Canis lupus familiaris: one gene and its partner. The protein of the gene in region 2 purifies or fractionates together with the protein of the main gene of each other region. This does not show direct contact. Links are inferred from orthologs where the notes say so. Each region holds a gene or a part of one and is shown on either strand. Other genes may lie near its edges. The genes, in order: KIZ and SCLT1.

What was found.
Region 1: the proteins of SCLT1 (region 2) and KIZ purify together in Homo sapiens (co-immunoprecipitation; 3 studies listed by BioGRID and IntAct, counting the BioPlex papers as one, with this or other methods). This does not show direct contact. The link is inferred for Canis lupus familiaris from reciprocal best matches to the Homo sapiens genes SCLT1 and KIZ.

What each region holds. Positions count from the first base shown.
Region 1 is NC_049245.1:2,683,830-2,699,708, reverse strand, and holds the start of KIZ (centrosomal protein kizuna), read left to right. Parts: upstream 1-8,637; 5' UTR 8,638-8,661; coding exon 8,662-8,849; intron 8,850-15,879. UniProt on the Homo sapiens protein: Centrosomal protein required for establishing a robust mitotic centrosome architecture that can endure the forces that converge on the centrosomes during spindle formation. Required for stabilizing the expanded pericentriolar material around the centriole.
Region 2 is NC_049240.1:12,801,542-12,817,558, forward strand, and holds the start of SCLT1 (sodium channel and clathrin linker 1), read left to right. Parts: upstream 1-8,582; 5' UTR 8,583-8,671; coding exon 8,672-8,705; intron 8,706-16,017. Other genes in the region: C19H4orf33 (UPF0462 protein C4orf33 homolog), read right to left, coding at 4,939-5,075, 7,765-7,825. UniProt on the Homo sapiens protein: Adapter protein that links SCN10A to clathrin. Regulates SCN10A channel activity, possibly by promoting channel internalization.

The DNA of each region.
Region 1 (15,879 bases), on a different chromosome or scaffold from region 2:
AAGTAATCTGCCCAAGTTTGCATAGCTTGTAAGAAGAGGTGGTAGTATACCATGCAGAGGGGGACCTGAGCCAAAATTTTTTACTTCTGTATTCAACCACTTCTCTAGGACACCACGGCAAGTGTTTGCTGGAACAGGGAGGGTACTCTGTGTGGCAGCCACCATTCGAGTGCCCCAGGAATGAATGAAGTCAACATGTCTACAAAGACACATGATATAGATAATTGTAAACAATGAGAAGCGGAACATTATTCATCCAGTGCCCTGTCACCCTATAGACATAAACACACAACCATCAAATTAAATACTATTTATTATGTAAAACCCTTTGGTTTCAACCTGTCTGTGAGTTGTAAGAGCAGGCCCAGAGCATCCCTTTGTTTCCAATCCTTCTAGTTAGGAGTACTTGTTGAACCCTGATGAGAAGTGCATCCAAGTGGCAAACAATTATGAAATCCACCAAATGACTTTTGAGAAGAATCTTAGCATGCAAATATTGTTCATGCATGACACCAGCACCCACACAGATTCAGGGCTGCTGCTCACCTCCCACAGTTGCAGAGCAGTCCCTGCCAGACAGAACCAAGTCACCATCCAGTCCTAATGAAAGAAAAGAGTACATACAAGGATTTAGTGCTGCAGATCTATTGCCTCTAAGGATTCCTCTCTGTCAACAAAGGGATAATCCTGAAGGTCTCACGGAAGCACAAATTCAAGGACTTCATGGAAATCATAGGTACGCAAGAGCTGTGAGACAAAATGCACCGGTCTCATTTAAGAAGTCTATAGTTAGGGGGCACCTGGGTGTCTCAGTTGGTTAAGCAACCAACTTCTGATATCAACTCAGGTCTTGATTTCAGGGTCCTGAGTTCAAGCCCCATATTTGGGCTGCATGCCCAGCATGGAACCTACCTAAAAAGGAAGTGGAGGAAGAGGAGGAAGAGGACGACGACGACGACGATGACGACGATGACGCCGACGACGATGACGACGATGAAGAAGGAGGAGTCGTCTCTAGCTGGAGTCATTTAAATGCCCTGTTATTCTATTTCTGGCTGTTAAATTTAGCTTTCACAGAGCTTGTGTATTTTAGAAACCCACATAGTAGATGTTGACTTACATGATATGAAATAAAATGAGGAAATCCATGTTTTCACTTTATTTATTGGAATTTGCACTCAATTCTTATTGTTTCAAATTAGCTGTTATAAATGCCTTTGAACAAAATGCTCTCAGTAAGCATGCTCTCCTGTATTATTAGTCCAGGTTCTCTGGAGAAACAGAACCTATAAAAAAGATGATAGATAGATAGATAGATAGATAGATAGATAGATAGATAATCTGGAGAGAGAGAGATTGATGTATTTTAAGGAATTGACATATTTAATCATAGGGGCTAGCAAATCCAGCATCTATATGCAGGCCTGCAGTTTGGACATTTCAGTAGGAACTGATGCTGCAGTCTTGAATCCAAAAGCAACTTGGAGGCAGGATTCTTTTTTTCCAGGACCTCCAGTCTTTTTTCTTAAGGACTTCAATTGATTGAAAGAGGCCCATTCAATTGTGGAGGACAATTTGCTTTACTCAAAATTTATTGATTTAAATGTTAATCACATCTTAAAAATACCTTCACAGCAACACCTAGACTGGTATTTGACCAAACAACTAGACACCATGGCCTAGCAAACTTGACACATAAAATTAATGATCACACTGCCTCTCTTGAACACCATCACCTCCCACCAAGGATGGCACCTCACATTCTAGTTCCCACCTTTCTACCTCCTCATAACTTATGACCTCCCCTTGTGCTTATGCATCTTGTCACTTTCTCTCTAGATCTTCATTGTCTGACATAGTAGCCAGTAGATACACATGTACTGTAAAAGTTAAATTTTAATTAAAATGAAATGAAATCTAAAATCCAATTCCTCATTTGCACTAGCTGCATATCAATAGTCACATGTAGCTATTGGCTACCATATTGGACAGCACAGAATAGAACCTTTGCATTATTGGTGAAAGTCTCATTTAACAGAGCTACTCTAGATGCTTCTTCCTCAGATATTGACAATCTCAGAATTCCAGGTTTGTAGTCTTCTTGACCATCTGGATGCTCCTGTAAATCCTCTTTGATAATGTTGTGGAAGGGCATTTGGATGCACTTGTATAATTGTTCAACAGAATGCTGTGTATGAATCAGGCTAAGTAATGCCAGCTGCTAAAACAAACAACCTCAAAATAGCAATGGCTTAACACAATAAAGGCTTATTTCTTGTCCAAGTCACATCCTCTGCTCTTTGCAGTCATTCCGTGTTCTTCCAGAGCCACAGTGTTCTCCACTGGAATCTGACTGTAGTGGGCCAACAAACAGAAAATGGGGAAGAGAGTATAGAATATTTGGGGGTCATCCTTAGGAGTGGCTGCATCACTTCCACTCACATTCATTGGCCAGACTGGGCCATATAGACCCATCTAACTGCTAGAAAGCATCAGACATGTAGTGCCAAAGAGGAAAATGAACCGAATGGTGAACACATAGTGCTATATCACAGCATGTAGAAAATTGCATTTATCAGTGAACACTATTCCTCCAAACAATGAAACATGTCTACATAAAAACCCTCCTGCATACATTATAATTTTACACATCTCATACAGAAAAATAAAAAGTATCAGTAGGTATTGATGAATAATAGCAAATAGTGAGTTTCAAGGCCATGTAGAATGGCGGTTAAGAAAGGATGGACTTTAGAATTAGAAAAGGTCTGTGTTTGAATTCTAGCACTACTGCTAGCTGGCCAAGAACATACTGACAACATAATCTTAGGCCAGTTGCTTAAACTTGTGGTGCCTTCAAAAGGACAGTCCTGGGGTTTAAATGATGCAACAAATGCTTACACCAGCAAATGCTGTGACAAGGAGGGGTTACATAAACATATACATGTGACAGCCTCTTCTATCTTTTTTTTCACTCCTACGTTCTACTTTTGAGTCCTCTCTTCTTACAAACTGTATTTTCTAATAGCATAGGATGCAATGTCTAATATTTTGGTAGAGTGATGGCAAAATGAAATAATTTTCCATGTTTGGTTTGTTGTAGGTTTAGTTGTACCCCCCCCCCTCACAAATTCATATATTGAAGTCCTAACTCCTAAAACCTCAGAATGTGACCTCATTTAGAACTGGGGTCATTGCAGATATAATGAGTTAAGATGAGGTCATACTGGAGGAAGGAGGGCTCTAATCCAACTGACTAGTATCCTTATAAAAGGAGACATTTGGAGACATGCATGCACACGGGGAGGACACAACGTAAAAATGAAGTAGAGATCAGGGTGATGCATCTATGAGCCAAGGAATGGCAAAGATTGCCAACAAACCACCAGAAGCTAGGAGAGAGGCATGAAATAAGTTCTTCATAGCCCTCAGAAGGAGCCAATCCTGCCAACACCTTGATCTCAGACTTACAGCTTCCTGAACTGTGACACAATAAATTTTTGTGGTTTAAGCCACCCAGTGTGGGGTACTTTATTATGGCAGCCCTGGCCAACAAACATAATATCCAAGCAGTTATTGACTCAAATATACAGGATCCATTTGTAAAATGGCATTTAAAAATGTAAAGTTTAAATTGTAAAATTCCAATTTCAACATATTTCCAAAACCAATTTTCCACTCATAAATCTGTTTTTGAGCTTACAAAATCAGCAGTTTTTCTTTTCTTTTAAGATTTTACTTATTTAGGGATCCCTGGGTGGCGCAGCGGTTTGGCGCCTGCCTTTGGCCCAGGGCGCGATCCTGGAGACCCGGGATCGAATCCCACGTCGGGCTCCCGGTGCATGGAGCCTGCTTCTCCCTCTGCCTGTGTCTCTGCCTCTCTCTCTCTGTGTGACTATCATGAATAAATAAATAAAATCTTTAAAAAAAAAAAAAGATTTTACTTATTTATTCATGAGAGACACAAAAAGAGGCAGAGACATAGGCAGAGGAAGAAACAGGATCCCTGCGGGGAGCCCAATGCAGGACTCTATCCCAAGACCCCGAGATCACACCCGGAGCCAAAGGCAGATGCTCAACCACTGAGCCACCCAGGTGTCCCACAAAAGCAGAGTTTCATATGGATCATCCTAGGATCCATGATTACAGGGATAAAACACTGTCTTTCCTTGCTGTATGTTTAGTGGGGCTCCTGGGAACCCATATTTAGAACTAAATTCACTAATACCACACAGCTGTGGCCCTGGCCAAGTCCCTTACCTACCCTGAATCCTTTTCTTCTTCTAAAAAATAAAGAGGTGACAGATTCTCTCTTTCACCTATGACATTCGGTAGCTTATAGGAAGCCTTGTGGGTCCAGGCAGACTTGTAGGCCTGCAGTCCAGGTAAGTGAAAACAGAGCTGCTTATAGAAATCAGCTCTACTAATATAAAGGGATTTAAAAATAATATTGAAAGACCATACTACAGCAAATTAAATTTCTAAGTAAAGAACACTGAATTTATTAGAAGTGTCAACATTCAGAATACATAATTTTAGCATACTCTAGAAATATTCACTTAGTTTGCTATATTTTGTTTTTTTTTCTTTTTTCTTTTATTTATTTATTTTTTTAGATTTTATTTATTCATAGAGACACACACAGAGAGAGAGAGAGAGGCAGAGAGAAAAGCAGGCTCCATGCAGAGAGCCTGACGCGGGACTCGATCCAGGGTCTCCAGGATCATACCCTGAGCTGCAGGCAGCGCTAAACCGCTGCGCCACCAGGGCTGCCCTATTTTATTGTTAATAAAGAAGGTTCTATATCTAGATTTGTCATATGTCATTAATAAATCATTTATAAAATGCAGATTATAATTATTTTGAATTATCTATTTACTGTTTAATTATATTTAAGTTTAGGTTCCCCTAAAATGGCCTAATAAAAATTTGAGATGCTAAGTGACTGCTTCATCTGCTTACTCTGTGTATTTGCTGAAAATAATTAGTTATATTAATTGAACTTTTTTTTCCTTTAAAAAACACATCTGGGTGAGGCTGAATCTAAATAAAATATGCTAAAAATATGCATTATTTTTGCCAGTGTGGTGGGTAAAATGTAGTTTGCACTAAAATGAGCAAAATAAACCTTTGTACATGACCATAGAATCAATTTGGTATAATGATTTGATATAACAACTAAACACAGAGTATTAGTACTACCCTGAGAACCAGGCAAGAGGACCCCTGCCTTGGCTTCTGTATATTAATAGAGTCTGTTCTGGCCCTTTTCTGGCCATGCTACTCCACACAAGGGAAGAGGCCCCAGTATATACTTGTCTGGAACTCACATACACACACACACACACACACCCTTCTTCTTTTTTTTTTTTTTTTAAGATTTTATTTATTTATTCATGAGAGACACAGAGAGAGAGGCAGAGACATAGGTAGAGGGAGAAGTAGGCTCCATGCAGGGAGCCCAATGTGGGACTTGGTCCTGGGACTCCAGGATCACGCCATGGGCTAAAGGTAGACACTCAACCGCTGAGCCACCCAGGTGTCCCCACGCACACCTTTCTTAGAACACATTCCAGGTAAGTACCACTCTGACATGCTTTGCTCAAGGCCTTGGAGCTTGGCAAGCTCCAAGGCCTTTAGAGACCTCTTTCCTGGATCATTCCTGAAAGGGTGACTATCACTGGTGGGCTCACCATTAGGCTTGGTGTGTGGCTATGAGAGGCTAAGGTGGACTGGGTTGGGGGACACATACATTCCTGTCTGTTAGGAAGCTCCTCACAGTGCTTGATTGAGCCTCAAGTGGTAGAGGGTAAGTAGGGGAAGAAGTCACAGAACTAAATCCCCCTGTGGCTTTCCAGGTTATTAGGAAGGCACATTGGTCAAGGTAGGAGGAAAGAACAGTTTATCTACAACTTGTCATTGTGAGTTATAATCATTTCATACTTCAACAGATAGCATGAAGGCCTCCAAGTACTCTAGCCCTGGACCTAACAAATAAGAAGAGCAAGCCGAGTAACATCATAATTGTATATTGCCAACCTTTAAGTGGTCCATCTATCTCGCTAATGATCAATTTGCTACCTTTAGTCACACCTTGCACATAAGAATAAGTGAAATTAGTGGCTGAGAAAAGAAACCAAGTGAAGAATAAGAGACTAAAGAAACGCTATAGTGTAGTTCTTCTTCTACTCTGTGGGTTTGGAATATGTTTTTCTTCAGGAAGCTTATGCCCCAAGATGATGACAGTCATAAAAAGTGATGTTTACTATGTGTGGGGCCCTTTTATAAGCATTACACACATTAATTAGTCATTATAACAATGGCATAGGTGGGTCCTGCAGTAACAGCCTCCCCATTCTACAAGAGGAAGTCTGGGCATGGAGAGAGTGACTTGCCTGCAGTCACACAGCTAGGTGGAGGAAGAGGAGATTCGAGCCCAGGCAGTCTGGCTCCAGAGGCTCCGCTGAAGGATTCGACAGGGCGTTTGTCCACTGAGTCACGTCTGCGCAAACAAATGTCTGCTTCACAAGCAACTAGTTAGCCACTCTTCCCTCTTCACAACCACATCCTTGGGGCAGCACGGACTTTCCAGCAAGCAGCTGTTCTTTTTTTTTTTTTTTTTTTTTATGGGGGAATGTTTTATTAAGAATAAAAAAAAACACACACACAACTTCCTGATAACATTTTAGAGCAAAAATGAATAAAGAAGATGCAATATTTCCCATAACAATATCGAAGAAATAACATCAATGAGTCCAGAAAATATCTTTAGGAGATAACATGGTGTCACTTTGCAGAGTTCTGGGTGAAATCTTTTCTGAATCACCAAATTCAGACATCTGTAAAACAATTTCAGATTAAGTTGTTAATTTCTGTTTACATCCAGTTTAGAAATTACCATGATGATTTCCCTCCATTTCTTAGAAAATGTATTTCAATAAGAGAAACTTGACGTTCTGGATTGGTAAGTACCCTTTGAAATTCCCAGAGATTAACCTAAAGAAAAACTGCAATATCTGTGTGTGTGTGGCAGGGGGCGGAGTATATGTGTAGGCGCCCCAGAAGCATGACACCCAGCATGTTGTGGACTTGACCATTTCCATCCAATTCCGCAGAATTGCTGGTTCACCACATCAGCCCAGGAGGAGGACATATCCTCATTTCAACAGACACCTCCTCAGGGTCCTCTGCTGTGGAGGACAAGTCTCTGAGTCCATGAGCTGTCTCATTCCCTATGAGAGTCTTCAGAGGATGGGGATACCTGCAGGTCTTCTTAGAGAACTCTCGAGGGGACAGGCACACAAGTTCCCTCACTCTGAATGACACAATAAACTATTGGTCAAAAGAAACACAATTCCCAGACATAGAAGAAACTCTGATACTTTGTATCTTTAATCTGCCTTCGATACATGAAAACCTACGAAAAAGTGTGATTTGTTGACCAAAATTCCTATTTTCCTTTACTTTCCAGTAAGCATGACCTTTCCAAATTTCCATATAGAGTGGAAATACATTATTGAGCCCTTAAATGCCAGTGCAAATGATGAGACGTTACAACTGCACATCTACGGTCACACTCAGAGGCATTTGATTGGTCATGCAATAATTTCCATTCCACAATGAATTTGTCAGTCTCTTCTGTAAGAAATACAATGATAACACAGAGCACCTATAACCTGGCATGAAAAACCATTTTGCTAGATTCATGAACTTGGCACTGTTTTCCTGAGGTATAAACCGAGGTCAACATTGAAGTTGAAGTGACATGAAATCCATGAGTCCACCTCTTATGTGTCAGGAGGTGTCACAAAGGGGGTGGTAGCAAAATCTTCCTGAAACCTTATATTCACTGGGAGGCGGGGCAACTCCCTTGGGATAAGGGTCCTTGTCAGTTTCCTTGTCTTCAGTCTTAATATAGGAGGTAGGGAAGGGAACATGATATAATCAACGTGGTTCAAGTAGGCTGGATGCAGTTATCTCCTGAAAAATAGACATTTAATTCCTTTTGTACCATTTCCAAGCCACGACCAAATGTGTCCATATTTTTGGGGAGACTTCTCCATCTACATTTTGTGCAAGTAAAACTTTGCACACTCATACATTATTGTTTCGCAAGCAGCTGTTCTATTGTCAGGGCTGAGCGCAGAGTATTTTGGGTTGTCTTCTTTTATGGTGTTTTGTTCTGCCTCTTAAGTGTGGTAGGAAACAAAGTTTAGTGCAGCGCCCCGCTCAGAAATCCTGAAGAAGGGAGGGAGAGGTGGTAGGAAGGAGAGGATGAATCCGGGAACACTGGTGCAGCTTGATGCCGCGGGCGGAAATAACCTACTGAACTGCTCCTACCCAGCGGCGCTCCCCACAACCCCTCAGCCTCTACCAAGGTCCTCACGGAGGCTCCCGGTCGCGGGGAGGGCCAGGGTCTCTCCCGCGAGAATTCTGAAGGGCGAGGGGAAAGGGAGACGCCAGACTCGGGAGAGGGAAGCCGGGGAACCGCGCCCCCCCCCCGCCCGGGCCGCGTCACCCACGCGGAGAACCTTCCCAGGGCCTCCGAAGCTGCGCGCGCAGCCTCACAGCACGCCCCGCCCCCGCCCCGCCCCCCGCGGCGCCTGCCCCGCCCCCCGCCCCGCCCCTCCGCGGCGGCCGGCGCCCGGTTTACCGCGGTGCATGGTGGGGCCGTCGCCCCGGACAACCCGGCCCCCCACCCCCGCCCGGAACGCGGCTGCTCCTCGGCGGTGCTGGGGCAGGGGGCGCGGCGAGGGCGGCATGCGGCCGGCCTCCCCGCCTTCAGCGCCTCCGGCGAGCTCCGACTACCACGAGAGGCTGGGCCGCCTCCAGCGCGGGCTGCGGGACAGGTACGTCTCCGGGGCCGGGGCGCGCGGGGTGGGCCCGGCCGGGGGTCAGCCGGCGCCCTAACTCCGCGGCCTCGCCACCCACCACCCCCGCCCACCCCCGCCGTGTTTCTCAGAGCCCGGGTCCGCCCGGGACGCTCCCCAGGCTCCCGGTGCGGCCTAGAGGACAAAGTTCCCCAAATACGGTGCCCGCCGTCCTCACGGGAGGGCTCCCACCGGGAGATGCGGCCGCGTCACGCAGTTTGCCCAGAAGCGACACTGGGAGTCCTCTGCCTGCCACTCTCATCACGCCTCGTGGATTTCCCTACTTCCCTTCTACACGCCTCCTCCCTTGTCTCTCCTAAGATCGTCATCCCTCCCTGACAGCTGCACTGCATCAGCGATGACAGCCTGGGCACGCAGGCGGGGGAGTGTGTGTGAGAGAGACAGACACAGAAAGACAGAAGCATCTGCCCTGTTTGAATGCAGGAGACATTTTTTGGGGCGGGGGGAACGAGGGCTGGCCGGATTTCCAGCAAAGAGGTGACATTTACAGAAGGAGAAGTCCAGCTTCCAGAGGGTTCGTGATACTTTGATTAAGACGTGAAGGATGAGAGCCACTAGATCTAAGAGCACAGAGAGAAAATTATAAAGCAATTTACTATAAATAACCACATAAAAGATAAATTGTTGGAACTGTTATTCAGCTGCTAAATTAATTGGAGTTGGAAATCTCATTAGTTGACAAGAAAGGAAATAGATATTTGGATCTCTTGATAAACACAGCGTTTAATGAATGTTAAAAGTTACAAAATCATTTCAGTGAAGAGGAGAGCTTTGTGTGTGGCAATTCTAAAATGACAATGATAATTACATATAAGGTAAAGGCAGTAATAGGTGGTTATAAAAAGGAATTATATTCATCTTAGCCTCGATTTAATTCTTGTCAAATATTTATAGAACATCCGCAACAGGCCTCCTTAATTGCCCTCACCATATTTTACCCCTTGATCCTTTTCTATATCCTATTTTCTTTCTGACATACTGCCACTCACCCACTCCAGGGACCTCCTCACCTCCAACTTAAAAAAAACAAGACAAAACAAAAAAACAAAAACAAACAAACAAACAAACAAAAAAACACTTCCTGCAGTGGTTTCCCTATGGCAAGTATTGATCATCCCATTCCCTAATTTACGTTATCTCTATTTTAATACCACTGTAGATAAATGGCTTGAGTGACTTGCTCCCTGCTTAGAGAGAGAATTCCAGGAGGACAAGAACCATATTTAGCTGTATCTTTAGCTGGTAATAGAGTACCTGAGGTGGAGGAGGAGCTTGACAAATTGTTGAGTGAATGGCAGAGATCCTAACGTCAACCAGCCAGGACCCAGCAGTTTTGAATGTCACGTATACAACACTGTAGCCACACATTGTCACTAAATCTTGACGATTTACCAGTCAACCAGGGAAAGTGAAGAGTATGAGATTTCAAAAATGGTATTATGTCTGCACATACCTTATAATTAAAGGAGAAGACACTGCTCTGCACATCAGCACACCTAAAGTGCTTTTGCTCTGTTAGAAGAGTAGCTTAGTGTTCTTAGGCCTTTAGTTACTTGTATCTCTTAGCCCAAGTTCTAATTTTAAAATGTTGCTGGTTAAAAAATAAATAAATGAATAAAAAATAAAATGTTACTGGTTTAAATGGCATTCTTTTTGAACTAAGTTCATTGTGAGGTATCATTTTTACTTTCTGTGCTAGGAACACCTGGTGGTTTATAGTCCTTATGGTATAATAACTGTGTAATGATTAGTACTCACTTTATGTTTAACACTTAAAATGTTTTAACTGTTAATCAAGGTGAGGCTGTTGAAATTATATAAGGAATTCAAGTAAAATTTTGTAGCCTATTCATGGTTCTACACTTGGAGGTTTTTAAAAATTGTTAAGTTGGTACAAAACTGTTGCTATGTGTTTTCATCTTTCATTTAAAAAAATATTTTTTTTAGAGAGGAAGTGTGGAGGGGCAGAGGGAGAGAGAGAGAAGCCCAAGTAGGCTCCTCGCTGAGCGCGGAGCCTGACATGGGGCTTGATCTCACTACCGTGAGATCATGACCTGAGTGGAAATCAAGAGTCAGATGCCTATCCAACTGAGACACCCTGGTGCTCCTTATTTTTCATCTTAAAAGTCCATAACTAACTTCTCATGCATAGTAAGTACAGAGGCATATAACTTTGGATGCAGAGAAACTTGGGTTCTGCTCTACAAAGAATTGTGTGACTTTGAGCAGGTTGTTCAGCTTCTCTGAACCTTGGCTGTTCACCAGAAATGAGGAGCACTGAATTACATGTATGGTAAGGCCACAGATTTGTTTTTTCTCTAGTAATGAGCTTCAAACTAAAAGAGTTGAATGTTGTAGTTTTACAAAGAAACAAGTAATGAATATCATTGTTTGTATCCTATTTGAGTGTTTGAATGTACCTGCTTTTTGTTTAGTTTTGTTTTTTAATCACTCTCACTGACTCTAAAACTTCAGAGTCATTTTAAAGGCTGCATCCCTGGGTCATCCCAGCTGCTTTATCAGTCCAGAAATTTCCTGGGGGTAGGAGATAAAAACAGCCTGCCCTTTTCTGGCCTTCTTAGAGCTGGCTCACTGATGGTCTAATATAGCTGGTCTAATAACTGGGCCTTTCCCTGGTAAGTAGTATATTTCTAGCCCAGTTTGTCTTAGCTGAAGTCACACATAAATGTACTTTTACATTCTTAATTTTATCCTCTTTGAGTATGGTGTTTTCTCTGCACTCGGTGAAATCAATCATAGAATCTTAAAGAGCCTGCTGGAGTGACTTTGTTACAGTGTGTGTAGTGCCACATGCATGGTAGAAACATGTGAGTGGAATTGACTCTTATAATTATATAAAAACATCCCTTTAAAAGGCCCATTAACCAGTTTTTTCAATGCCAGTATTGATTCAGAGTGAGATATCATAATAGTCCAGAAATTGATTCTGAGATATTAGCTAAGTGAAGCTGAAGTTGGTATTGAGACAAAAACAGAATAACAAGTGCTTAAAAGGAGAAAAGGGAATCATGTGGCTACACTCTTAAGGACTAGCAGCTGTGTAAACCTTTGAATGGTCGAGGTGAGGGATGCAGGTGACTAAAACCATGGACTGTATTATGGGTATACATCCCAGGGTTGGGTGTTTCAGAGATTCTGAGATAAAGATTTAGTATGTAGGGGTTGCAAGGTCATCTTCCACATAAACCTTTCTCTGGCTTTTTATTGGAGTAAATATCTTGTTTTAAGTCTTAAATTTAAAATAGAAATGAAAGACAGCATTCAGAAGCTCTGAAGCGTGGATGAGGAGGTTGGGAAAAGGGCCTGTGATGAGATTAATGAGATTAGCATCATGTTGTACGCAGTGGAAGGCCAGGAGGTGTTTGTAGTTTTTCACCATCTGAAGCGCCATAATAGGTAAGTGTGACTGGCAGATGTGTTTATCTACTGAAGACAGAGGAGCAATGAAGAAGTTCTATGTTCATGATTAAAAAAGAACTTGCGGCACAGGTGGTGATGGATTCCTAAAAAGACTGTGGTCGTTTTTCACTAGAGGTTGTAGGTGAATTTTTAAAATTATTTTGAATTAAATTCAAGCTCGCAAAAAAGTTGCAAATATAGCAGAAAGACTTTTAGTATTTCCCTCACCCAGATTCCCACTCTTAACATTTCATTATATTTTTTCTGTTTTTGTCTATCTGCCTGTCTAAAATTATTAGTCTTTTCTGAACTATGTGAGAAACTGCAGATAATGATGCCCCATTACTCCTAAAAACTCAAGTGTCTATTTCCAAAAATAAGGATGTTCCCTGACATGGATGCACCCTATGACTCTCCTAGTGTGGAAATCAACGCTGATACCAGTCCACAGACTCCAATCACATTTCACTACCTGCCTATTTTGCCAGCTGTCCTAAGACTGTTTTTTTCTTTTCTCTTTTTTAAGATTTATTTATTTATTTATTCATGATAGACAGAGAGAGAGAGAGAGAGAGAGAGAAAGAGAGAAAGGCAGAGACACAGGAGGAGGGAGAAGCAGGCTCCATGCCGGGAGCCCGACGTGGGACTCGATCCCGGGACTCCAGGATTGTGCCCTGGGTCAAAGGCAGGCACTAAACTGCTGAGCCACCCAGGGATCCCCAAGACTCTTTTTTCTTTTCTGGACCAGGATCCCATCTGTGTACTCATTTGTTACATCCTTTCAGTCTCCCCCAGTATGGAGCTATTCCATAGTTGTTTCCTATCTTGTATTCTGACAATTTCATAGAGTCCAACTCTATTACCCTTCTAGAGGGTAATCCTCAAGCTGGATCCATCTAATGGTTCCTCATGATAAGACAATGATCACACTTTCTTGGCAGGAATAACACAGAAGTGAAGCAGGATGTCAGGGCACAAGGTCACAGATACACTTAAGGGTCCTTCTGTCTTTGTAATTTAATGATAGATGGCTCACTGTTCATTCTTCATTAACTAAGTATCCTACTAATCATGAAATTTTAGAAGCCGCCAAAGTGACTAATAAACAATTCTAACATGGAAGCAATTATGCCATATTTACTTCTCTTCTAAGTTCACTCTTATTTTTTTAAATTTTAGTTTAGTTTAAATTCAGTTAACATATATTATTAGTTTCAAAGGTAGAGTTCAGTGGTTCATCAGTAGCTTATAACACCCAGTGCTGCTAATCATATCACATGCCCTCCTTAATGTCCATCATCCAATTACTCCAGCCCCCCACCCATCTCCTCTTTAGCAACTCTCAGTTTGTTTCCTAGAGTTAAGAATCTCTTATGGTTTATCTCCCTCTCTGATTTCATCTTATTTTATTTTTCCCTCCCTTCCCCTATGGTTCTGTTTCTATTTTTGTTTTTAAGATTTTATTTACTTATTCATGAGAGACACAGAGAGAGGCAGAGACACAGGCAGAGGAAGAAGTAGGCTCCCCTTGGGGAGCTTCATGTGGGACTCGATCCCAGGACCCTGGGATCACGACCTGAGCCAAAAGGCAGAAACTTAACCACTGAGCCACCCAGGTGCCCCTTTATTGTTCTGTTTTGTTTCTTAAATTCCACAGATGACTGAAATCATATGGTATTTGAGCTTCTCTGACTGACTTATTTTGCTTAGCATAATATCTTCCAGTTCCATCTACATCATTGCAATCTCTCTCTCTCTCTCTCTCTCTCTCTATATATATATATATCTCATATCTTCTTTATCCATTCATCTGTTGATGGACACTTGGGCTCTTTGCATATTTTAACTATCATGGACATGGCTGCTATAAACATTGGGGTGCAGGTACCTCTTTGAATCTCTATGTTTGTATCCTTTGGGGTAAATACCTAGTAGTGCTATTGATGAGTCATAGGGCAGCTCTATTTTTAACTTTTTAAGGAACCTCTATATTGTTTTCTAGAGTGGCGTGGCTGGACCAGTTTGCATTCCCACCAGCAGTGCAAGAGGGTTCCCCTTTCTACAGCCCTGCCAACATCTGTCATTTCCTGACTTATTCATTTTAGCCATTCTGACTGGTGTGAGTTGGTATCTCATTGTGGTTTTGATGTGTATTTCCCTGATACCTAGTGATGTTGAGCTTTTTTTTTTTTTTTTTTTTTTTTTATTTTTTTTTCATGTGTCTATTGGCCATTTGTATGTCTCCTGTGGAGAAATGTCTGTTCCTGTCTTCTGCCCATTTCGTTACTGGATTGTTTATTTTTTGGGTGTTGAGTTTGATAAGTTCTTTATATATCTTGGATACTAGCCCTTTATCTGATAAGACATTCTCAAGTATCATCTCCCATTCTGTAGATTGTCTTTTGGTTTTGTTGATTGTTTCCTTTGCTGTGTAAAAGCTTTTTATCATGATGAAGTCCCAGTAGTTCATTTTTTATTTTGTTTCCCTTGCCTTTAGAGACTTGTTTAGCAAGAAGTTGCTGCAGCTGAGGTCACAGAGGTTGCTACCTATGTTCGCCTCTAGGATTTTAATGGATTCCTATCTCATGTTTAGGTCTTTCATCCATTTTGAGTTTATTTTTGTGTATGGTATAAGTACCTCATACAGGAATTCAGCAAAGTGGCAGGATATAAAATCAATGCACAGAAACCTGTTGCATTTCTATACATTAACAATGAGACAGAAGAAAGAGAAAATAAGGAATTGATCCCATTTATACAATTGCACCGAGAACCATAAGATACCTAGGAATAAATCCAAAGAGGTAAAGAATCTGTACTCTGAGAACTGTAGAACACTTATGAAAGAAATTGAGGAAGATACAAAGAAATGGAAAAGCAAGGGGCAGGGCAAGATGGTGGAGGAGTAGGGTCCCCAAGTCACCAGTCCCCACCAACTTACCTAGATAACTTTCAAATCATCCTGAAAATCTGGGAATTCGACCTGATATTTAAAGAGAGAACAGCTGGAACTCTACAGAGAGAAGAGTTTGTGCTTCTATCAAGTACAACTCGTTTTTAGCCACTCTGCACTAAGCAAAATGACTAGAAAGAGGAACTCACCACAAAAGAAAGAATCAGAAACAGTACTCTCTCCCATACAGTTACAGAATTTGGATTACATTTCAATGTCAGAATGCCAATTCAGAAGCACCATTATAAAGCTACTGGTGGCTCTGGATAAAAGCATAAAGGATTCAAGAGACTTCATGACTGCAGAATTTAGATGTAAATCAGGCTGAAATTAAAAACAAATGAGATGCAATCCAAACCGGAGGTCCTAATGACAGGGTTATTAGGGATAGAGAGAACATTCCTTAGCATCTTAAAAGCCATCTACGAAAAGCCCACAGCAAATATCATTCTCAATGGGGAAATACTGGGAGCCTTTCCCCTAAGATCAGGAACAAGACAGGGATGTCCACTCTCACCACTGCTATTCAACATAGTACTAGAAGTCCTAGCCTCAGCAGGCAACAAAAAGAAATAAAGGCATTCAAATTGGCAAAGAAGAAGTCAAACTCTCCTT
Region 2 (16,017 bases):
AGGAACAAGACTGGGATGTCCACTCTCACCACTGCTGTTCAACATAGTACTGGAAGTCCTAGCCTCAGCAATCAGACAACAAAAAGACATTAAAGGCATTCAAATTGGCAAAGAAGAAGTCAAACTCTCCCTCTTTGCCGACGACATGATACTCTACGTAGAAAACCCAAAAGCCTCCACCCCAAGATTGCTAGAACTCATACAACAATTTGATAGCGTGGCAGGATACAAAATCAATGCCCAGAAATCAATGGCATTTCTATACACTAACAATGAGACTGAAGAAAGAGCAATTAAGGAGTCAATTCCATTTACAATTGCACCCAAAAGCATAAGATACCTTGGAATAAACCTAACCAAAGAGGTAAATGATCTATACCCTAAAAACTACAGAACACTTCTGAAAGAAATTGAGGAAGATACAAAGAGATGGAAAAATATTCCATGCTCATGGATTGGCAGAATTAATATTGTGATAATGTCAATGTTACCCAGGGCAATGTACACGTTTAATGCAATCCCTATCAAAATACCATGGACTTTCTTCAGAGAGAACAAATTATTTTAAGATTTCTGTGGAATCAGAAAAGACCCCCGAATAGCCAGGGGAATTTTAAAAAGAAAACCATATCTGGGGGCATCACAATGCCAGATTTCAGGTTGTACTACAAAGCAATGGTCATCAAGACAGTGTGGTACTGGCACAAAAACAGACACACATAGATCAATGGAACAGAATCAGAACCCAGAAGTGAACCCTGAACTTTATGGTCAACTAATATTCGATAAAGGAGGAAAGACTATCCACTGGAAGAAAGACAGTCTCTTCAATAAATGGTGCTGGGAAAATTGGACATCCACATGCAGAAGAATGAAACTAGACCACTCTCTTTCACCAGACACAAAGATAAACTCAAAATGGATGAAAGATCTATATGTGAGACAAGATTCCATCAAAATCCTAGAGGAGAACACAGGCAACACCCTTTTTGAACGTGGCCACAGTAACTTCTTGCAAGATACATCCATGAAGGCAAAAGAAACAAAAGCAAAAATGAACTATTGGGACTTCATCAAGAGAAGAAGCTTTTGCACAGCAAAGGATACAGTCAACAAAACTAAAAGACAACCTACAGAATGGGAGAAGATATTTGCAAATGACGTATCAGATAAAGGGCTAGTTTCCAAGATCTATAAAGAACTTATTACACTCAACACCAAAGAAACAATCCAATCATGAAATGGGCAAAAGACATGAACAGAAATCTCACAGAGGAAGACATAGACATGGCCAACATGCACATGAGAAAATGCTCTGCATCACTTGCCATCAAGGAAATACAAATCAAAACCACAATGAGATACCACCTCACACCAGTGAGAATGGGGAAAATCAACAAAGCAGGAAACCACAAATGTTGGAGAGGATGTGGAGAAAAGGGAACCCTCTTACACTGTTGGTGGGAATGTGAACTGGTGCAGCCACTCTGGAAAACTGTGGTTTTTCCTTTGAGGTTCCTCAAAGAGTTAAAAATAGACCTGCCTTACGACCCAGCAATTACACTGTTGGGGATTTACCCCAAAGATACAGATGCAATGAAACGCCGGGACACCTGCACCCCGATGTTTATAGCAGCAATGTCCACAATAGCTAAACTGTGGAAGGAGCCTCGGTGTCCATCGGAAGATGAATGGATAAAGAAGATGTGGTTTATGTATACAATGGAATACTACTTAGCCATTAGAAATGACAAATACCCACCATTTGCTTCAACGTGGATGGAACTGGAGGGTACTATGCTGAGTGAAATAAGTCAATTGTAGAAGGACAAACATTATATGTTCTCATTCATTTGGGGAATATAAATAATAGTGAAAGGGAATATAAGGGAAGGGAGAAGAAATGTGTGGGAAATATCAGAAAGGGAGACAGAACATAAAGACTCCTAACTCTGGGAAACGAACTAGGGGTGGTGGAAGGGGAGGAGAGTGGGGGGTGGGGGTAAATGGGTGACGGGCACTGAGGGGGGCACTTGACGGGATGAGCACTGGGTGCTATTCTGTATGTTGGTAAATTGAACACCAATAAAAAATAAATTTATTAAAAAAAAAGAAATTAATGCAAGAAATATTGAATATACTTCCACTGCTGGGAGGAGTGCCATGGCTGACATGGCTGACAAGGGTAGAATGTAATTTTGGCTTTGACTGCATAAAATGATTTTAATTTCCTACTAGAGTGACAAATTTGTTAAGTTGCTTAAAGAACACTAATGTTAATCCAAGTGTGCATAATATTTATAACAAAATTAACCTAAAAAGTATAGTCCTGCCCACTAGTTTACAATGTAATCTAAAGATAATGTTGGATCCAGAGAGAAACAACTGATTCTCCTTTCAACTTCCTGGGGACCGGGGATACTTACTATTCTCTCTTGAAACTTAATTCTTAGTGCCTCTCAATTTTGTATGCACATGTGCTCATATGAAATAGACAATTCAACTGTCAATGTCCTTTGTGACCTATGCTAGTGTGCATCCCCCACTCTACTTTTTATCATTCTCTGCTGCCTGTACATTGCTCAGTTTTGATTCACAGCATTATACCACAGGACATGTTTGTTTATTGTCTCCCCATTCCCAGCCAGAAAGCCTGTAAGTAATATGAACTCATCATTTATTTGTCAAGTGAATAATCCTCCTAGTTTTTGGATCCAAAACTTCATGATTCTAAGGTTTTCTGCAAAATAAATCAATTGTATTCATGGTATCACTCTCTTTCAGTTAAAACAATAGCAAGTAACTAAGATAATATGTCATATCTAGAAACTTCCTTTCAATTTAGTTTATCAAAGGTTACCTACTCACTTTGTTTCAGGTGCTGTACCAGGTGTTAGGGAAATTAACTATAAGCCTAGGGGAGTTAGGGATGTGTCTCATGTAGCTAAACCAACAAAGTCTATATTATCAATTGGTTTATTTTATAGTCCAATTTGATAAAGTTGGATTCCTACACCAAGCTAAGTTTTTCTTTTTTAAGATTTTATTTATTTGAGAGAGAGCAAGAGTGGAACACATAAAAGAGGGAGAGGAAGAGGGAGAAGCAGACTCATAGGTGAGCAGAGAGCCCATGTGGGGCTTGATCCCAGGACCCTGGGATCAGACGCTTAATTGACAGAGCCACCCAGGTGCCCCACCAAACTAAGTTTTAAATGAATCAAAGATTTAAACATAAAAACCATATTATAAGAGAAAAATTAATTTTTAAGACAATGTTATAGTTGAAAAAGCCTTTTAAAATATAACCCCAAACTCAAAAGACAGAAAAGAATGATACATTTGGCTGCATAAAATTAACAAAACTAAAAGCAAAGACCTGCCTTCACCCACCCAAAAGAGCTCACTATTACAAAAATCAAAAGACAGTTGGGGAAAAAATATCTGCAACTCATATTTCAGACAAATAACTAACTTTTTCAGTGCTTAAAGGGGTCCTAGAAATTAATAAGGAAAAGATCAATACCCCAACAGAAAAATAGGATAAAACAGTTAACAAAAGGTAAATGCAAAATGTTCAACCTCATTTATGATAGAAATGCACATTAAAGCAACAATAAATTACTATTTTCTTGTATTGGAAAATTTGATAACATGATGTGATAATGCAAAACAATGAAAAACAATCACATATTGTTGTTGGGGCATAACTGGCACAGCTTCTGTGAAGAACAATCCTTCAAAATCTATCAAAACAAAACATGCAAATATCCTTTGACTCAACAATTCTAGTTCTAGGAGTTATTACACCTGCACATATTCAAAATGACATAAGTATAAAGATATTCACTGCAACACTGTCTACAATAACAAAATAATGTAAGCAATTTAAATACCCATAAGTACAGGATTGGTAAGGAAATTATGCTGTATCATGCAATGAAATACTATGTAGCTGCTAAAAAAGAGTAAGAAGCTCTATATATATTTAAAATATACTAAGGGAAAAAAAGCAAGGTGCAAAATGTATGAACTTATTTCATTGAAAAAGAAGACTATTTGCATAAATGCTTGTGAATGCATATACTATCTCAGAAAGCACAGACAAGAAACCAGTGGTGGCAGTGGTTACCTCTTATGAGGCAATTGCTGGAGACAAGAGAGCAAGGGAGGCTTATTTTCAACTGCTATTACTTAAAACAACAACAACAAAAACTGCCTGAATTTTATACTATTAAAAAATAAATGAATGATTAAAAAGTGTTTTTTAAAGTCCATGTGATATATACCTCCTCTCTATATTATATATGCTTAACATTTCTTAAATGTCAGAATGAATACTGGGAATATTATTGAAGGAATATATTCATTCAAGGTGATCACCAGCCTATTATGCAATTTTGATGTTGGCTGTTTAGACTTCCTTAGAAGAATGTTTATCGTTAATCTGTGTTTTTCCACATTTTAACTTCTATTCCTCAAATTACTCTTTCATCCAAAAAAAGTTCCAATTTTAAAATTATTTTCATGCTTGTTTGCATTATGGAGAGGCCTTTAAAAGGAAAGTTGAGAAAGGAGAGAACCGCAGAACACTAAATGTCCAGGAGACAAAAAACATTCCACAAAGGTTAAAAGAAGGAAGTAATGGAAAAGATGTTTTCTCAGAACGTTTTACAAGGGAAATTTCCAAATTCTTCTATTCACGAAATTGCCTTTAGTTTCCTATAATTATATTTCAGTTTGCATTCTTGCTTCCACCTGCACCCCTGCCCGTTTATGAGAGAAACGGAGAAAGGAAGCAGTCGGAAAGTGGGAGTAAATAAACTGTGCCAGCAGAAGCAGCAGCTGAAAAAGAAGTTACCAAAGAAAAGGCTAACAAGACTGGGCGAAGCTGCAAGTAAGAAGCGAGGTAAGGACGCTAAACAAGAGAAGAACACAGACCGGGAAGCTCTTTTTCCGTTCAACACTCAGCTCGCTGCTTTCTGCGCAGGTGACTGAAGAGGGCTCAGCCTTAGGCTCCGCCCAGCTGCCTACATATCCCAGGGGGGTTGGGCGTGGAGGACTGAAGCCAACTCGTCCTGGTTTTACAGGAAAGGAAAAAAAGGAAGTGAACCTCTGAACTTTTGATCATTCTACTGAAGTTTGTGTGATTTTCTAGAAGGAGAAGGAAGGGTAATTCAGCAATATAAATACCATGTAATAATCTGAAAATGAGCTGTAAATTCCAGTTCAGGCAGGCACTTTCCAACTATGATCACCAGCAAATCACTGTAAAAAGGATTTTGTGAATGGATATACATATACATAAATGTATTTAGGACAGTGCCTAGCATGTATGTAGTAAATACTCAGAAAACATTAGCTGTTATTATTAAAGTCTACACAGGTTTGCGTAAAGAAAATATTTTTCTGTTGAAATTTTTTAAATTATAGGTTACTTAAGTGGTTGTCCTATTAAAACTAGACTATAAGGCAGGATAGTCTAAATGACCCTTGAGATCCCAAAATATGGTTCTGGTTGGTTCAGTCTTACCTATTCCAACAGTTTCAGTATTTATCAGCTTATTTTCCTTCATTTAGTGTCTCCCACCCAAGACAGTGTGAACTTATTGTTTCTATACAGGATTAGATGTAAATTCATAACATAATCATACATAAACTTTTAAAGTTCTCAAGAAAAGGCAATGATTTACAGAACTACTCTATTTCTAAATAATAAAATCATTCTGTATTTTGGTTGCTGAGAGTTACCAAAATGTCTACGGGATCTGTGGGTTTAATTCAGCAAGCAGTCACTGGACCTGAACTTCACAGCTACTCTGAGAATACTGTGCATATATTCTACATGTTTAAGTAAATTCACCATTTTCTCCTGATCTGCAACAGCAGATATTACATTAGTGTATGGCCATTATTCAATTATTTTCAGGTAAAGTATTAAAGTACACCATATGAAGCTGCAGAAAAATCACAATTTCATATGGTTTAGCATAAGTATGTTTTGCTCATAACATACTTTTAAAAACTTCTTTGGGGGAAAGCAGCTTTCGTATTTGTTTTACGAAAACTATTATTTTTGTTTTATAAAAATCATTTGATGGGAGAGGGAAATGAGCTCTTGCTCAATAGCTCAATTTCCAACTTTGTATTCTTCATGGTGCTTTCTTTCCACATGGTACTGGCTGCTTGATGTCAATTTATTAAACAAATTAATATTAGTAAGAACTATAAATTTTCAAAGGTTTTCTTTCTTTTTTTAATTTTTTTTATTTATGATAGTCACACAGAATGAGAGAGAGAGGCAGAGACACAGGCAGAGGGAGAAGCAGGCTCCATGCACCGGGAGCCCGACGTGGGACTCAATCCCGAGTCTCCAGGATCGCGCCCTGGGCCAAAGACAGGCGCTAAACCGCTGCACCACCCAGGGATACCCTCAAAAGTTTCCTTTATTGAAGAAATATATCTAACACACACACACACAAAAATGAAATTGGAGCTAGAGAATGGTTAAACACATGATTTTCCCATTCCTTGTACTCAATTACACTGATACTTTCCAATCCACCAAATTCCTTAAATTAATTCCTTCATCAGGTATTTTTGAACCCTTCTTGGATTCCAGGCTCTCTAATGGAGCCTATAAACAAACTACAAAACAATATGATAGAGACTGGATGGAGGAAGAAGCACAAAGTATTAAGGAAGCACCCTCCTTGGGGAAAGTGGGTAGAGAACACAAGAGAACTTTTAAAAGCAAGCAACACTAGAGGGGATACTTTAAGGATAAGTGGAAGCGTGACAATTTTGTTTCATAAAGATGAAAAATATTTTGTAAAAGCTCCATGCAAAAACCAGTAGAATCTTACAAACCAGCTTCCCAAACAAACCGCAATACCGTAATTTGCATTGAACTTGACCATATAAGCCAAATAGCTCAAGTATAGAGATAAAAATTCCAACTTCAGATATTTAATTTACATAATGCAAAGACCACTCATCATTTATATCCAGAAAGTGATCTTTGCGTTCACCAACACTAATACATCTTATTAATATCTAGTGTAGGTGTGGAATTAAGTTTATAACTGATGCCAAATTAACTCCAATGGCAACATGCAGATTCAAATGTAGGAGAACTTAAAGTCTAGTCCTCGGGGAGCGGGGGAGGAGCTCATGAAAAAGTCCTACGCTGACCTTTCAAGAAAGAGTTGACGTTTGCCCACTCAATCTCTCCCTCCAGTAAGTTTAACATTTATTTATTTATTCATGAGAGAGAGAGAGAGAGAGAGAGAGGAGCAGAGACACAGGCAGAGGGAGAAGCAGGCTCCACGCAGGGAGCCCGACGCGGGACTCGATCCCGGGTCTCCAAGGTCATGCCCTGGGCCGAAGGCAGATGCGCAGCCGCTGCCCATTCCTCCAATTTTAAGATAGGGCTTAAATGCAGACAAAATTTTTAATACTGGAAATTGTCATTTTGCCCTCAGATATTAAGTTCTGCCTAATTTTTTCTGACAAAAAAAATAACTTTTTTGTTCTTTTTGAGGAAGCAAAGATTTGCAGGATCTTTGTACCACCTCTAACTACACGTACGCCTTCCTGACACAGCTAAACACAGCTTGTCTCCTTCCCCTAAAGACCCAGAGGGGCAGGGCCGTACTTAGCTTGTGGAGACCAAGCCCACCTCCAAGATCCTCCAGAAGCTCCGCTCTGGGGGCGGCCTCGGAAGGCGCCAGCTTGGGCCCCGCCTCCAGTCAGACGTCTACTCACTTTCCAAACCCGCTCCTTGCGGCCAGCAAGCAGGTTCCCTCAGTGCAGAAGTGCCAGGCATCAAAGATTCTGGGAGCGTTTAAAATATGTGCTTGACGCCCTCCCTACGTTTACAACTTGGGGGGTTTTCTTGAAAAACCCCACACGCTGCACAGCCCCGCGGGCTCGCCCCCGGGAGGGAGCCTGCTCGCCGCCTCGGGGGTGGCTCCGCGCGCCGCCTTCCAGGTTCTCACAGCTCCACCCAGAGCTGGACCGATAGCCAATAGCGTGTAAGGACTCTAGGAAGCGCGATGACGCAGGCGCCGACGTCCACGTGATGACGCAGGCCGCGTCGCCGTCTCCAAGGAGCGGCCCGGGGCACCGGTTTCAAAGTCGCAGGGCGGGCCGAGTGGACTTCCGCGGCTGGCCCCGGGTTTCGCCGGCGTCCTGGAGTCGACCCCCGCCTTCCTCCCCGAACGCTGCCCCCAGGACGCCGCCGCCCGGCTGCTCGCCGGCTCTGTAGGCTGTGTCCTGAGCGGCCCGGCACGACCCCGAGTGACCTGCGGGACGCCTCCGGCCGCCCGCGTCCGCGCTTTACCCCGCCGGGATTCGGGGCGGGGGAGGGGGGGGACGAGGCCCCAAAATTCACGTGGCGGATCCTCGGCGCGCCTGGCATCTGAAGTCCGCTGCCCGGTCGAGGGGCCGCGCTGGGACTCGGGAGAAGGAGGCGCGGCGGGGCTGTCGACGTGAGGAGGATGCTGCCTACGCCCTCGAGAGCTTGACAAGCCCCGGAGCGTCGCTCTGTCCTGTGTCTCCGCACGGCGAGCTCTGGTGGTGGTGGGGGGGGGGGGGGGGGTCGGGTCGCTTTTGTTGTTCTTTTTTTGTTTCATTTTTGGAAGAAAGTGGCAGGTGGTGAAATCCCAAGGAAATGGCCACGGAAATCGACTTTCTGAGAGACCAAAGTAAGCTCCGTATCCCTCTGTGGAAAATGGTTACCCTGCGTGGCGAGGTTGCCGACCGGCTACTATTTTCGAATATGCCCGTTCGGTGCATGGAAATTTTGGAGAAACTCAAGTCAGCTTTACGGGAAAGCCTGGCGGGCGGGCGGGTGGGTGGGTGCGTATATGCTTAAGCAGAACATCGCCTGGTTCCTCCTTCAGCTGGACGCGGTTAGTATGTTCCTCGCATGCCCCGGAGAACTCAGAGGGGCGAGAGGCCAGGAAGAGTCTCCCCAAGGCACAGTTGTGGCTGTTTTTTTTGTTTTGTTTTGTTTTGTTGTTTTTTTTTTAAATATTCATGAGAGAGAGACACAGAGCGAGGCAGAGGGAGAAGCAGGCTCCACGCAGGGAGCCCGACCCGACGTGGGACTCGATCCCGGGCCTCCGGGGTCACGCCCTGGGCTGAAGGCGGGCGCTAACCCGCTGAGCCACCCGGGCTGCCCAGTTGTGGCCGTTTTTGTAAGGAGATGTTTATGTAAAGTCCCGTTTCGGTTACGTGTACGTGCCAGGCTCTCAACAGGCACCGCTGCTGCAAAGAGGTGGACAGTCCTGCCCTCCAGGAATTTAATTTGAGGAAAGAAATCCGTAAATTCCATAGATACACGCAATTGGCAGCAGGTGCTAACCCTTACGCCTCGGTTCCTTCATGGGGTTGTTGGAATGATTAAATGAGAGTTTTGTTTTGTTTTTTAGGATTTTATTTATTCATGAGACCTGGGGTGGCGGGGGGGCGGGGGCATAGAGAGAAGCAGGCTCCATGCAGGGAGCCCGACGTGAGACTAGAACCTGGGACTCCAGGATCACACCTTGGGCTGAAGGCAGATGCTCAACCACTGAGCCACCCAGGTTGTCCCCGATTAAAGGAGTATTAAAATATGTAAAGGCTGGGGCAGCCCCGGTGGCTCAGCGGTTTAGCGCCGCCTTCAGCCCAGGGCCTGATCCTGGAGTCCAGGGATCGAGTCCAGGGATCGAGTCCCGGTTGGGCTCCTTGTATGGAGTCTGCCTGTGTCTCTGCCTCTGTGTGTGTGTGTGTGTGTGTCTCACGAATAAATAAATAAAATCTTTTAAAATACGTAAAGGGTTTAGCATAGTATCTGACACTAAACATATTTAACTATTAAAGGACTGTTATTAACTGTGATCAAGGAAGGTGTCATTTGGGCTAAAGCTTGAAGTACTAATACGAATCTGCTAGACAAGAACCGTGTGGGTATCCCAAATAGAATGGTATATGCAGCATGTATGCAGCGTTGAGGAGATGAGTATGCAAGGAGGTTGGCTTGTATGGAGTGTGGTTTATCTAGGCAAATAGCAAGTGGAGCTGAACAGGGAAGAATGGGACTGGATAATGAAGGGCCTTGTCTGCTGTGGGTTGAGTTTGGACCGTTGCACAGATGATAGGAACCACTGAAAAGCACGTGAGAGTAGCATGATTGAATTTGATTTGGAAAGCCTGGTAATGGCTGTTAGGAGGACTGAGTGCTCTAGCAGAGTCTGATAGGGGACTATTCTTAATTCGCACAAGTAAGTGAAGTAAGGTAGTACAGTGAAGTTGGAGATTAGGGAATTTGAGATGAGGTAGGGGGCAACTGAGGTTTTTGCATTAAGCAACAGGGAAGGTAGGGAAAAAGCGGTAAGTTCGGAAGCTTTATAAACCAGTGGTTAAGAACTCTACCCCTAGATTCAGTCTGTCTAGGTTCATGTACTAAGTTTATCTCTTTTCAGGTCTTTGACCTTTGTCGAGTTCCTTAGCTCCTTGGTGTTTCAGTTTTCTCATTTATAAAATGGAAATAATAGCACAATAACCCTTGTGGGGTTATAAGGATTAAATGAAATGATGTAAATAAAGCATGGTTTCTAGGGCATAATAAATGTGCTATAAAATTTAGAATTAATGGACTATAATGATACCATACATTAGCATTCTTTTTTAGGTTTGAAGTGGGAATATCCGCCATCCCATAAGGAAGACTGGCTGACCTCCATCTCAAGTAGTGGGGGACAAGAGTTGGGTGATAAGGATTTTGGTTGGGGTGGGGAGGGTACCTGAATCACCCCAAAACTATGATTTTTAGAGGAATGAGCCAGCCATGTTTTCTTTTTAAATGGAAACTAGGATGCCGGTTACAGCTGAGGTGAAAACAGATGGCTTGACCTTCTCCCACTTATTCTAACCTTCACTACACTGACTTCTTTTGATCTTAATTGTCTCTTCATTTGTTCCATTTGGATTTGGTAGTCTAGCTCAAGAGAATTTGATTTAGTGTTTCTCAAGTAGCAACCCCTGTGATAAAGCATTAGCTTTACAAAAAACTACAGGTAATTCCAAACCCAGTCATGCTCCTAGTAAACTCCTAGCATAATTTCAAGACCCCATTCTCCCACCTCCATCTGAGAAAGGAAATTTGATAGTCCTTAGAGACCTGTTCAAAGAGATACTTGTTTATGAAGCTAAGAAATGAAAAAGTCATTCTTGTAGTGGGAATTTGGGAAGTGGAGATGAACTTATTTTTTCTTTTCATTCTCTTAAGTGTTCTTCACAGGCCAAAAGTTTTTAATTTTGTTGAGGTTCTCAATTCTTTTTTTTTTTTTAAGATTTTATTTATTCATAAGAGACAGAGAGAGAGAGAGGCAGAGACATAGGCAGAGAGAGAAGCAGGCTCTCTCTGGGGAGCCTGATGTGGGACTCGATCCCAACACCCTGGGATCACACCCTGAGCCAAAGGCAGATGCTCAACCACTGAGCCACCCAGGCGCCCCTCAATTTGTTCTTATATGGATGTCTTATCTAAGTAATCTTTGCTTAATCAAAGGCTGCAAAGATTTTCTTCTATGTTTTCTAGAAATTTTGTAATTTTAGGTTTTACATTTAGATTTATGATCCACTTGGCTGAAATTTTGTATAAGGTTAAGATAAGGATCAAAGTTTACCTTTTTGCATATGAATGCAATTAAAAAGACTATCCTTTCTCCATTGGATTTCCTTTGCGAAAAGTCATTTGTCCTTATTCGTGTCCATCCATTTCTGGACTCTGTTCTGTTCCATTGACTTGTTTTATCTGTTTGAGCACCAGTGTTCCACTGTTTTGATTATTGCAACTTTATAGTAAGTCATAAAATCAGGTGATGTTAGCCTTTCAAATTTGTTCTTTTTCAGTTATTCTGGCTATTCTAGATGCTTTGCACTTCCATGTGGATTTTAGAATCAGCTTGTCAATGTCTTCAAAAAAAATGCTGAGATTTTGAGAGGCGTTGCATTGACTCTGTTGATCAATATGTGTAGAATTCATATCTAATGATATTTGAGTCCTCTTATCAATGAAAAGGTTGATCTCTGCCTGCATTTTCCCTCTTTGTGCCATAGCCTGAAAGTCTCTCACGTCATTCTCTCCATTGATGTGTCTATTATTTCTCTTGGCAATATTTTGTAGTTTTCAGTATATAGGTTTGCATGCCTTTTATCAGATTGATCCCTATGTATTCTGGTTTTGATACTATTATAAATGGTGGTATTCTTTTAATTTCTGATTTATCATTGCTAGTATATAGAAATACATCTTTTTTTGTGTTTTCTTTCATGTTGTACCCTGCAACCTTTTTAAACTCACTTACTCTGATAGGTTCTTTTCAAAGTTTATCAGATTTTCTACATAGATGATCTTTTCATCTGTCAATACACTTTTACTTCCTTTCCAATTTGGATGCCTTTCATTTCCTTGCTTTATTGTACTGGCTAGAACTTCGAGTACAGTTGAACACAGGTGGTTGAAGTGGACATCCTTTTCTTTGTCCTGATCTTAGGGTACAAGCGTCTGTCTTTCAGAATTAAGTATGATACTAACTGTAGATTTTTCAGAGGCGTTTTTAGATGATTGAGGATATTCCTTTCTAGTCCTAGTTGTCCGAGAGTTTTTATCAGAATGGATTTTGAATTTTTTTCAAATGCTTTTTCTCTGTTTATTGAGAGTATTGAATTTTTTTTTCCATTTTGACTTACATTGATTAATTTTCATATTACCTTTTTGGGGGGATAGACTTCTCTTATGTGTTACCCTTTTTATTGTTTGATTTGGCTTTCTAAACGTTTATTTAAAATTTTAATTTTCTATATTCATAAAGCCTTTTTTCCCTCTTCTCATCTCTATGTCTGGTTTTGGTAATAGGCAATGCTTTCCTCACGGAATTAGTGGGAAAATATTTTGTTTTCTTCAATTTTCTGGAAAAGTTTATGTAAAATTGACATTATTTCTTCCTTAAATGCTTGGTAGAATTTACCAGTAAAGACAAGACCTAGAGTTTTCTTTGTGGAAAGATTTTAAACTGTAAATTTAGTTTCTTTAGTAGGTAAAGAGCTACTCAGTAGTCTGTTGTATGGTATTTTTTGGGTGTTTTTGTTGTTGTTGTTGTTGTTATGTACTGTTGTATACAGAGACCCTCCACAGATTTCATATATCCAGAATTTTCTCTCTCAGGTCATTAAGCTGGAGCAATTATAAGCCTCACTTCATTTATTTTGCATCTCTCATCATCATTATCTCTTGTCTAGTGTCTGGCAAACCATTATTTATTTGCTTTTGGTTGTAATAAGTGGGAAGGTAGTCCTTGTTACTTCATTTTGGACATAAGCAGAAGTCCTATTCAAGTTACCCTACTTTTGAAATCTTAAACACAAGTTTCTTACTCCTGGTAGAAGTATTCTTTGGCTTCATCAAGACTTCTGTTCTTTGACTCTTCATTTTCCTCTATATCCTTAAGTCTTTCCCAGCTTGTTTTTATTGCTTTCTCTTTTTTTAAAGATTTATTTATTCATTTGAGAGAGAGGGAGTGAGCATGTGTTATGCACAAATGAGGAGAGGGGCAGAGGGAGAAAATCTCAAGCAGACTCCCTGCTGAGTATGGAGCTGAATATGGGGCTCAGTCCCACAACCCTGAGATCATGACCTGAGCCACCCAGTTACCTCTGTTTTTACTAATTTCTTATACAGCTTATAACCATTGCCCATCGGTTGATCTACTCTCTTGTTAGTGATCTTAATATGTTTATAATCTCGGCTTTTTTGAGTAGCACATACTGGATAATACTTCATCCCTTAATTAGTTGTTTATGTTGCCTTAATAGTTCTCACACCCAGCTGTTCAATAACCATAGATAAAAAACTCAACTCTCTAGATAAGTACCACCACAAACTCAAGGTTAACTCATAACTAAAAAGTGATCAAGCTGGGATTTGAACCTAGGCCATCTAGTTCCAATGTCTATATTCTTAATGTCTACTCAACAAAGAGACTTGCGGGGATCCCTGGGTGGCGCAGCAGTTTGGCGCCTGCCTTTGGCCCAGGGCGTGATCCTGGAGACCCGGGATCGAATCCCACATCGGGCTCCCTGCATGGAGCCCGCTTCTCCCTCTGCCTGTGTCTCTGCCTCTCTCTCTCTCTCTCTCTGTGACTATCATGAATAAATAAAATCTTTAAAAAAAAAAAAAAAAAAGAGACTTGCAAGAAAAAAAGGGGGGAGGGGAGCCTGTTTCACTGATGTGCATAGAAACTAAAATCCTACATAAAAGAGGTGACTGGGTGGCTCAGTAGGTTAAGTGTCCCAACTCTTGATTTCAGCTCGGGTCATAACCTCAGGTTCATGAGATCGAGTCCTCCATCAGTCTCCATACTGAGTGTGGAGCTTGCTTAAGATTCTCTCTTCCCCTTCCCCTCTCCCTACTCCTGCCTCTCCCTCTCTTAAAAAATATCCTATGTAAAATATTAATCCAGTAATGAATGTCTGTATGTGTACATATATGTATACATATGCCTGTGTATAATTGTCTTCATATTGGGTTCATCCCAGTAATAGTTAGCATTAAAAATTACTGAATACAATCAAGAAGACCTAGGTTAATGGAGAAACCACTAACATATTAAATTTGTAGATTAGAATACTCAATATATTAAATATGTCAGTTCTTCAACAGATTAATGATTAGATTCCGTGCATTCTCAAGCTTAGTTTTTTTTTTTTTTTAATTTTTATTTATTTATGATAGTCACAGAGAGAGAGAGAGAGAGGCGCAGAGACACAGGCAGAGGGAGAAGCAGGCTCCATGCACCGGGAGCCCGACGTGGGACTCGATCCCGGGTCTCCAGGATCACGCCCTGGGCCAAAGGCAGGCGCCAAACCGCTGCGCCACCCAGGGATCCCTCAAGCTTAGTTTTAACAGTATCGTTCTAAAATCTAGTGGGAGAGGGGCACCTGGGTGGTTCAGTCGGTTAGGTGACCAACTCTTGATTTCAACTCAAGTCGTGATCTCAGGGTTGTGAAATGGAGCCCTACATCGAGCTCCCCACTGGGTACAGAGTTTGCCTAAGGTTTTCTCTCTCCCTCTGCTCCTTCTCCCTACCCCCACTAGTACACACATTCTCTTTCTCTCTAAGAAATAAAAATCTAGTGGAAGACTTAAGAATAACCAAGAGAGTTTTAAAGAATATCAAGGTGAGATATTTTACCTGTCAGCTATTAAGACTTAAAATATCCAATTATTAAATCAACATTAGATTGTCATACATAGGTCAGTGGAATAAATTAGCAAGGAAAAGACATATATGTGAAACTTGTTATCTGAAAGAACAATACAAATCAGTGCTAGGATGGTCCTAGGATAATTGGCTATCCAAATAGGAAAGAAAAAATAATAAAGATACCTTTCCCACATATATAGAAAAACCATTCTGATATTTTGATTTAACGGCCAAAATTTAGAAAGATTTTTCACAAAAATAAACTCATACTAATAGAAAGATGGTTAAAGAATATGACAGGCCATTACAAAAAAAAAAAATAATAAAATTTGAAGAACTACTAAAAAATGAAAAATCCCAGTCTCATCAGTAATCCAGAAAATGCAATGTCCAACAGTGGAATAAGTGTTGAATGAATGAAGGAAATAGTAGTTACAGTAAAATTTTCTCCAGATTAAAGTCAATCTCTGAGGACTGTATTTCCCTCAGTAATTCACAATTGACTTCTGAACCATTTTAATTACTGAGAACTCAGATTTAGTGTTTTTTTCTTATTTGAACACCCTATCAGGTAGGGTGAAAAAAGATTTGCATTGGAATTATTATATCCATGACCATATCTACAGCCTCCTCTTGAGAAGAGCAATAGGCAGAAACTAGATCCTATACGGTGCTAAAATTTTAGTGCTGTGTGTCAAGTTAACAATCTTAAAAGTTCTGTGGGCAACAATAAAAACATGGATAATTTCTTGTAAACTCGGTAAAA